2 linked regions of the Daphnia pulex genome follow. The protein of the gene in region 2 interacts with the protein of the main gene of each other region in a pairwise test. Links are inferred from orthologs where the notes say so. Each region holds a gene or a part of one and is shown on either strand. Other genes may lie near its edges. The genes, in order: importin subunit alpha-1-like and nuclear pore complex protein Nup50-like.

The links.
Region 1: the proteins of nuclear pore complex protein Nup50-like (region 2) and importin subunit alpha-1-like interact in a two-hybrid assay, tested with the Drosophila melanogaster proteins (2 studies listed by BioGRID). The link is inferred for Daphnia pulex from reciprocal best matches to the Drosophila melanogaster genes Nup50 and Pen.

The regions. Positions count from the first base shown.
Region 1 is NC_060028.1:48,727-53,277, forward strand, and holds importin subunit alpha-1-like, read right to left. Parts: upstream 3,069-4,551; 5' UTR 2,916-3,068; intron 2,683-2,915; exon of another isoform or gene 2,645-2,682; 5' UTR 2,622-2,644; coding exon 2,559-2,621; intron 2,493-2,558; coding exon 2,324-2,492; intron 2,264-2,323; coding exon 2,116-2,263; intron 2,057-2,115; coding exon 1,801-2,056; intron 1,744-1,800; coding exon 1,191-1,743; intron 1,127-1,190; coding exon 849-1,126; intron 668-848; coding exon 566-667; 3' UTR 321-565; downstream 1-320. UniProt on the Drosophila melanogaster protein: Binds specifically and directly to substrates containing either a simple or bipartite NLS motif. Promotes docking of import substrates to the nuclear envelope. Seems to act as a cytosolic receptor for both simple and bipartite NLS motifs.
Region 2 is NC_060026.1:3,791,344-3,795,511, reverse strand, and holds nuclear pore complex protein Nup50-like, read right to left. Parts: upstream 2,774-4,168; 5' UTR 2,711-2,773; intron 2,645-2,710; 5' UTR 2,635-2,644; coding exon 2,476-2,634; intron 2,294-2,475; coding exon 1,581-2,293; intron 1,519-1,580; coding exon of another isoform or gene 1,512-1,518; coding exon 1,377-1,511; intron 1,314-1,376; coding exon 995-1,313; 3' UTR 806-994; downstream 1-805.

The sequences.
Region 1 (4,551 bases), on a different chromosome or scaffold from region 2:
TAAGGATCGACTACTACTTGCTGATCAACTTCAGAATGGAAATCCTGAATCCTGTTAAATAATAGCAAAAACTTTAAAGAAAACATTGGAAAACTAATTTAACTTTGATAAGGGTCCAGACGTTGTAAGATGATTCCTGTAGTCGATAGTAGTATCTGTTAGGGTTAAATGTCAACGTAGAAATGAAACTTTGATGTGGAAATTATCTACAAATGTCAGAACACGGATTAACTGTAAGCAGCCAACAACCTGGAATCAGGAAATCAACTTGAAATACAAAAAATAAAAACTAGCACGACAAAATCAAAACTTATCAAATGTAGAGTTGATCGAGTTGTTTTGTATTGCTCGTTTATCGCGCATTGAGAAAGAGGAAAGAAGACGTCGTGCATGGACAGAAATGAAAGCAAATGGCAACTTTCAATTAAAAAACAATTTAGAAAAAAACTTTGAAATAAGAAAAGGCCAAAACTCATGATTAGGATAGCGTTCAAGAAAGTGAAGAATATATTTACCGTTGTAAAGGCAGAAAAAAATCAAAAAGAATTTTTAGATTATACAAAATTTAGAATGAGAAACCTCCTTCGGGGGCTTGAGATGGCGAGTTGTTGAATTCGTAATTGCCACTCTGCGATGTAGATGGCGCCAACTCGGAATCTTCATCCCCCTGTCGAAATAACAAACAAAAACGATTAAATCAAATTCAAGAACACTATTTCAAAATAAAACTAATTTTCTAAAATCTCAGTAATGGTTAAGTTGTCAGCACAAACACTATGAATGTGAACAGTTGTGGTAATCATTGAAATAAACCCAAAAAAAGAAACAATAAAAAAAGAATAAATTACGTCAGTTGAGAAGTACTGCTCCAGAATGGCCAATGACTTGTGATAGATTTCAACATTGTCGTGGCTCTGCAGAGCTTCGATGCGGTCCAGACCACCACACTCTTCGACGTGAAGGGAAACTTTCTCCAATTCACCCATTTTCTCAGCTGCGGCCAAAATATTAGCCAATCCATCCAGCACGACCAAGATGGTCTTGGGTTCCTTTGCCTCCAGCAAAGTGCACAGCGGAGCGATGGCACCAAACTGGCACAACAAGGCGATCTGCTCCACATTGCCACCTGAAATGAATAAGAAAAATCAATTAAAAATCAATAAAACACCAGTAAAAATGAAATAAGTTACCTAAAGTGATGTTGGTGATGGCCCAAGCTGCCTCCTTTTGGCATTTGAAGTCACCTTTGCCCAGCACATCCACCAACGGACGAATAACATTGTTGGTGATGAGAGCCTGAATCTGGATGGCATTGCCGGCAGCAATGTTGGACACGGTCCAGGCAGCCTCCTTGACGATGTTCATCTTAGCATGAACGAGTAACTTGGCCAGCAACGGGCAGGCACCAGCAGCCAGGACGGAATCGGTCTGAATGTCACTTCCTGTAACGATATTCCCGATTGTTCTCAGAGTGGGGGTGATCACGGCCACCTCAACGTGGTCCAGCAAAGCGACCAGCCGTGGGACGACACCGGCGTCGACAACCTCCTGAATCCGTTCGTTGGGGCCATCGGTGAGGTAAGAAAGAGCCCAGCAAGCATCGGCGAGGATCTCTTTGTCGTTGTTGTGGATCAGGTGGGCCAATGCGGGAAGCAGTTGCCGGACGGCAGGGACACTGGGCGGAGGATTCTTGTTACGACACAAGTTGGACAAAGTCCAAGTGACATTACGCAAGAATGTGGCCTATAGATCAAATCAATTAACAACTGCACACGAACGTAAATTTAAAATAAAACTCACCGAAGTATCAGGTTTAATCAAAGTAAGCAGAGGCTTGATAATGCCTTGCTCGATGACGTGATCACGAAGCTCTGGTCCGTCTCCGGCGATGTTACCCAGAGCCCAAACAGCTTGCTCTGCCACAACTGGATGAGGTGACCCCAACAGGGAAATGAAGCCAGCGACAGCCCCAGCACTGACGACAGCCTTTGTCTGGTCAGATGTGCCTGAAGCAATGTTGGTGAGAGCCCAGGCTGACTCAAACTGCAGATCGGGGCTGAAACAAAGAAAGACCATTAGGAAATGTTCAAAAACCAAAAGAGACACTTGACATACTTGCTGACACGACTGAGAAACTCCACCAGCTTCGGAACAACATTTGCATTAATGAGGATGTCAATGGGTGGATTACGTTCCCTGCTGAGGATTTTACGGGCAGCATGGGTTGCAGTGATCTCCTTGTTCTCATCACCACTGTTGATACCTAACGATAATGAAAAACATATGAGAAGCAACTCAGAAATAAAAACTGATGCACACATACCATTGACTATGTCCTCAATGCTCATATTTGCTGCAGCCATCCGATTCTGTTCTTGGAGTGGGCTGAGGGGCTCATCATCGATTTCAAGGTTACGTCTCTTCAACAAATGATCTTCCTTCTTGGCTTTCCGCAACTCAACATTCACCTCTGTACGTCTCCTCCTCATTTCCTGAACAAGAAAGATGAAAAATCTGTTACATTTGAGAACTGACACTAGTTATTTTAAGGTATTTACCTCAACATCTCTGCCTTTGTTCTTGAAGTCCTTCAACCGGCTGGGATTTGCTTCAGTAGGCATTGTGATAGTGTAATTTACTCCAGCTGTCAAAGAAAGAGAATTCTAAAAGGGATTTTCAAATCTGGCACAATGACAAAAGAAAAATGAGAAATGGGACTCGAGACAATGAAGCAACAAAGAGAAAAAATTTCCCGCGCCACGTGCAAAATTTCCCAGACTATGGCAGTCGTTAAAAATGTGTCAATGATGACTCATACCATTATTTCACAATTTGTTATAGTCGAAGCAAGAAGTAAACTATTATTCCACGTGGGAATGTCAGAAAAATTGAAAATTAATAGAGAGAGGAATTACCTGCGGGACTTGTGAGCAAGAATCAATTGATGAATGGTGACCGTTTGATCGCTAAGAGAATTCCAGACGACGAAGAAGAAGAAGGGGGAGGGAATTTCAAACCTAACCGTTGCCTGTTGCCAAATTTATTCATTGATGCAATCGGAATGGGATCAAATCTGGCAACGTATAAGCAGACGAGAAAATTTAAAATTTCAAAATAAGCAGAAAATGAAAAACGCCGATGGAGCTGGTCATAATAGAATTTAACTGAAATTGATAATTGATTTTAATAAGAATTTGTTACCATAGGATTTCTCATTAATTAACCTTCTGACTTAATGATCTGTTGGAAGTCTTTCTTTAAGAACATGATGTATGATGATGTCCAAATGACAGTGTCAGAGATCTCTCCCCTGGTTTAAACAGTTTTCATAAAACTAGCATCAACAATTTTTATGTTGGCAGGAAGAAGTTATACAAATATAGATCCAGTAATCTTGAACATTCAATTTATATAAAACTGTTTTCCAAACTAAAAAAGTGGCAAAAATTTGAATACCAGCCAGTGCCAGCCGATTCCTGAAAGCTTAAACTTTAGACTGCCATCTGGAAGAAAGAAAAGTTTTCTCCCACAACCCAAATTAATTTATACTAAATTTTCAAATATTTTTCAGACCAAATTTTCCATCAGTTGTAAGAGTATCATCCAAAATCAGTGTGAACAGAATCAACAGATAAAGTATGGAAGAAACTTCATTTTAATACATCTTCCTAACGAAATGAGGTAGGCCTAGCTGTGATACCAAACATACAGAATGAAATTTAGATTTACAATGTCTCTTGTCTGATCTCTAAACTTTCTGTAGAAATTAAAACGTTTTAATTGCTTTAAACACTAACAGTTGTGAATTCAAGTTATATATCTTATTTCATTTAATTTATTAAATCAGTGGCAGGCAAATAACTTTTATTTTTAAAAATCAGTTTCATCCGACTGCAAGAGGGGACCGTTTAGCCTTTCGACAAGTTTGATCAACAGAGCGTACCAAATATAGTTCAGTTGGAATCGCTAATTCCGACACAGGTGGTCGTAAAATCCGTGCTGGACAGTGTGCACGTAATACGTTAAACACATTTTTCAGTCTATACGTTTCTTAAAAACTAATCATATTCTGTGATTAGGTCACGTGTGCTAATAGACTCTAAAATTCCTTTTCATTTCCAATTTCCCCACAATTAGTTGCAATCCGCCGGGCAGTTCCAAAAGAAACGGAGAAATCCAACGTGAACAGCTGCAACTCCCGTCATCGGTTCAACTGGATTACAACGACCCTGCAAAGTTGGTGTTGCAGTTGGTGTTTATTCCAACACATTCGTATCACGTCCAATCATTTTCCAGCCCCTCGTAAATTGTCAAGTTTCATTTGAATCCGATAGTTCAACTGGCGCTACTTAAATAATCGACATAGAAAAATGCGGCTCGACTATAAAATGACGACCCACTTGGGCGTTTGAATTCCTAAACCCCCACGTCTGATCTCCTAGATAAAAAATGAAGTTCCTTCCGATTCTCTTCCTTCTGGTTGCCGTCTGCCTGGTTGTCGCCATGGTGAGTTGTTTTGACATTTCTCGTTTAAGTTTCAATCTGTTCCAC
Region 2 (4,168 bases):
CAAAAGAGATAAAATAACTATTGGGGGTTTAGAAAGGTTTAGTATGCAACAACACCGTCAGATATGTGTAACATAAAAATTGTTGATCAGAAAAGTTCGGTTGTCTAAAAAGAGACCGACGAGTAAGACACCACTAATCTTTGTAACGAGTGCAGCCAGGCTATTTTTTTAACCGATTGATAATACTGTTTCTTATAAGAAATGCAAAATAAAAACAATCAGCAATTAATTCAGAAGTCATCAACCAATTATAACAATGTTTGCTTACTAGCCTCTACGGTTACAACCCGATTCTACCGTGATGGCTTCATCACTGACTTACTTAACACGACATCAAACACAGTTGGATACTATTTCTCCCTCGTGGGACTAGTCGATTATAAAGACATGTAGTTGAACGCTGATACGCCATGACGTAAAGCCATAAAAAATCTTGAGAAATAAAAAAAATACCAAGTGAAAGGGGCTTAACCGTAGCGTAGTCGGTTTGACTATTTTTTCCTCCTAAAGTTGGAAATGATCGATGAGTGACATACTGGACAGGAAAATATTGATACGAAAAAATTATGATAACTCAATACGTGATGGTTTCCCATTCCGCAGAGCTCGTCTGTCATCTCCTTTCGAGTTCTAAATGCTGAAACCAGATCACATATTAAATCTCGGTCGGCTCACGGCTCACATCCAAGAATGTTACCATCCAGTCAGTCCGGAATAAATACGACATTCCATCGTGATTCGTGATGACGGCATACTCCACACTCTTTTGAATCAACCGTACAATAAAAAGAAAAGAAACTACATATTAGGTTCTTACTTGTATTGAATTTGATTTGAAATTTGCCTGTGGTGAAATCACGGTCGTCTCAAACGGGGATTGTTATTGTACAGATCGTAAAAAAATAATTGAATGAATAAAATAGTGAAATGGGGGATCACAAGAAAATGGAAGAAACAAAAAGAACTCAAATTATGCATGACTGACCCAAGTCGATCATTTTTTTGCTTCGTTCAATTTGGCCAAGAGTTCATCGGCTTCAGTGTCCGTCTTCACACGAAGGAGCATGGGTGTCGGGACAGGCGGCGTTTTTGGATCAATAGGCGGGTTGGGAATGCAAACCAGCATGACATTATTCTTGCCGATTCGCTGGGTCGTTATTTGTGGGTTTAAAATGATGTTTAGAAGAATGTTGCCCAGCGAGGTATCGGCACGGATCACCAGTTGCGTTTTATCGTCCTTGACTTTCTTTAGATGGATTGTGCCAACACCTTTTTCCGTGTAATTGGCATCCTTTTTGTAAAACAGTTTACATCTGAGCGGGAAAAATGTTAGCGTTAAAACACAAAAAATAAGCCAATAAAAGTAAAATTTGTACCTTATAGAATAGAAGGCGTCTTCCTCTTTGACTTCTTTAACTTCCACTTTAGGTGGAACGTCTTCATCTTCTCCTTCCTCGCCGTCTTTACCACCTTCCGCTTCTTCCTTTTTCACTTCTGTTGCCGGCTTAGTACTAGAAACACAAAGATAATAATACGAATTAAAGACATTAAAATGAAAAATTGATTTGTTGGATTACTACCTAGAAAACCCGAACGAAAAGGCTGGTGCGGTAGTAGTAGTAGCAGCAGGTTTAGTGCCGGAAAAGGCAAACAACCCGCCGGTAGAAGGTGGACTAGTGGTTGAACTAGTGCTGGATGCCTTGAACGAAAATGTCGATAACGGAGTCTTTGATTCTTGATCACTTTTAGCAGGGGCGCCAAAGGAAAAAGTTGAAATCGATGGTGCTGTTGTCGGCGTTGAGCTAGCGAATGAAAATGTTGAGGGTGGTTTGGCCGGTGTAGAAACTGTCGACCCATTGCCGAAGAAACTGAAAGAGGGTTTTGGAGCTTCTGCTGATGCAGAACCAAATTGGAATTTCTTGTCTTCAAGCTTCTCACTGTCAATCTTGCCAGGTTCAGTAGTCATGTTTTCTTTTGAAGATGGTGAAGCTCGTTTGGATTCTAGATCTTTCAAATGCTTTTCATAATCTCGAAAGATGGGAGTGAGTACACAGCATGGGTTCTTTTTTACATGGTCTGTAATCCATGTTGTAACAGTCTCATTCAGAGACTTTAGGTTGGCAAGGTACTCTTTTTCATTAGCCCCATTATCAGTTGGTGTCTTTTCTCCATTTTCTGTCTTGCCTGTTTCTACAGTAGTTGGTACTTTGATAGCAAAGTTGGAGAATGCTTTACTGGGTTCAGAACCTGTGCGAACTCCAAAACCAGCAAACCCAGAAAAACCCTTCTTCGCCTGTAAGGGAATAAAATAAAACACGCTGTAAAAAAATATTCTGGAATTGGGAACACGGTTGTAGTTCTGTCATTCATTCAAACCTGGTTACAAAAAAACCTGAGAAATATGTGGAAAACATCTGACACACTTAAATACTAGTTAACCAATTGACTAGATTGTTACTTAGCACAATAAATTACCTCTCCATCATTGCCTGCAATCCTTCTTTTTGCTTGTCTAATCACACGGCCCTTTAATGCCTCGTCCGAAGCCTGTTGGAAGCTTCCCGCCTCCTCCTCCTCTTCTTCGTCATTCCAGTTGTCGTGATTTAATTCTCGAGTCGCCGTACGCTTAGCCATTTGAAGTTACCTGTTGGGTTAATAAGTCAACTGAACGGAGTCTTACTCTTACAATTTAAAACTGAAAGTAAATTACAATTTCCGGTTTCACACGATTTTCACACGATTCGAGCCAGTGAAAAAAAATTCTGGCAACACTGTCTGGCAACAATGTTGCCAGACATTTTTTTTAAACATCGTTTACTCGAGGTCGTACCCATCTTTCGAGAATATAAATAAAATTCCATTCAATGAGTGAATAGCCTAAAAATTGCCGATAATTTACCTAAGAAGAATTCAGACGTACCCAGCTCACGGCAAAGTCAAAGTGGAAGAGAAATTATACTTCACGACATTCCATGGGTGGGATAGAAATGTAAACGAAAGTTTGCTGCTGAACGGGTACCTGCATGTTGAAGGACTGCATCTTCAGATCGTAGTGCGTCTCGGGCAGTAAATGAGTGACAATATGAGTGCGGGTGTTGCCGCCCAAGACCGTCACCTTGGTGTAATCTCCAGCACTTGTCGTCGAATGGTAATAAATGAAGAAACCTTCTAGAGGAACGCATAGTCTAACATGAGCCGAACAAGAATCACAAAGAACAGTGCACTCGAATCAAATAAGAACATAAATTTGACTGAAAGGCACGGATTTGGATTTTACATGAGAAAAGATAGAAAGGGCAAAATCTTCAAATAACGGGAGTACTTGAATTATGTCAATATCCATAACTAGTACGCAATTTAAAAAATAAATACAAAAAGAAAACAACAACAGCCCAAAAAGAAAGAAAGAAATCGCAAGCAAAAATTGAATTTCGTAAAATTGGTTTACCGCAAAAAAATGTCCGGGTGTGTATCACCCTACTACACAATACAAGTCAATTAAATCCAAACGACTTTCAAATAAAAAATCGCACCGGCCTGTGTCAGTCACTCACAATGGTCCTTACAAAGATAATAACTTATCGTTGATAAGTTGCCAACAAATCCCATTTGGTGTCGCTTGTGTAGTGCTAGTGCCCCAGTGATAATGTATAACATACAAAAACTTCCCCGGCTCCTGACAGCTTACAAGGCGCTGGAGCGTCTGTCGCAGAGCCAGTTTAATCTCGATCAGATTGCCGTCGTTGCCGAGGCGGCCAGTGGCCAGGTGGATCTGACGATGCAGTCGGAGCAGTCACAGTGTCAGCCTTTCGGAAGCGGTGAGGAGTCGTTGAGTGCCAAAGCCGGATCTGGCGGTAATTCATCTCCGCTGGATGCCACATGGATCAAAAGCGCCCTCACTCTCAACGACGTCGAACGTGATCAATGCCGGCCACTGTCAAAATACATGAGGAATATGATGATCTTCAATTGGCTGCACACGCTGGAGGACGGCCCAACTGAAATACTCTAAAAGAAAAAAAAAAGGTTACGATGAAATCTCAACGAGCTAGAAGACGAATAGCGCCAAAATGTATACAAGGAGATAACCCAACTAGATCGCCGATGGAAAAAAAAAAGTTTGAACCAACACCATTTCGGTTATATTAACATCTTTCGAGAACTGGTA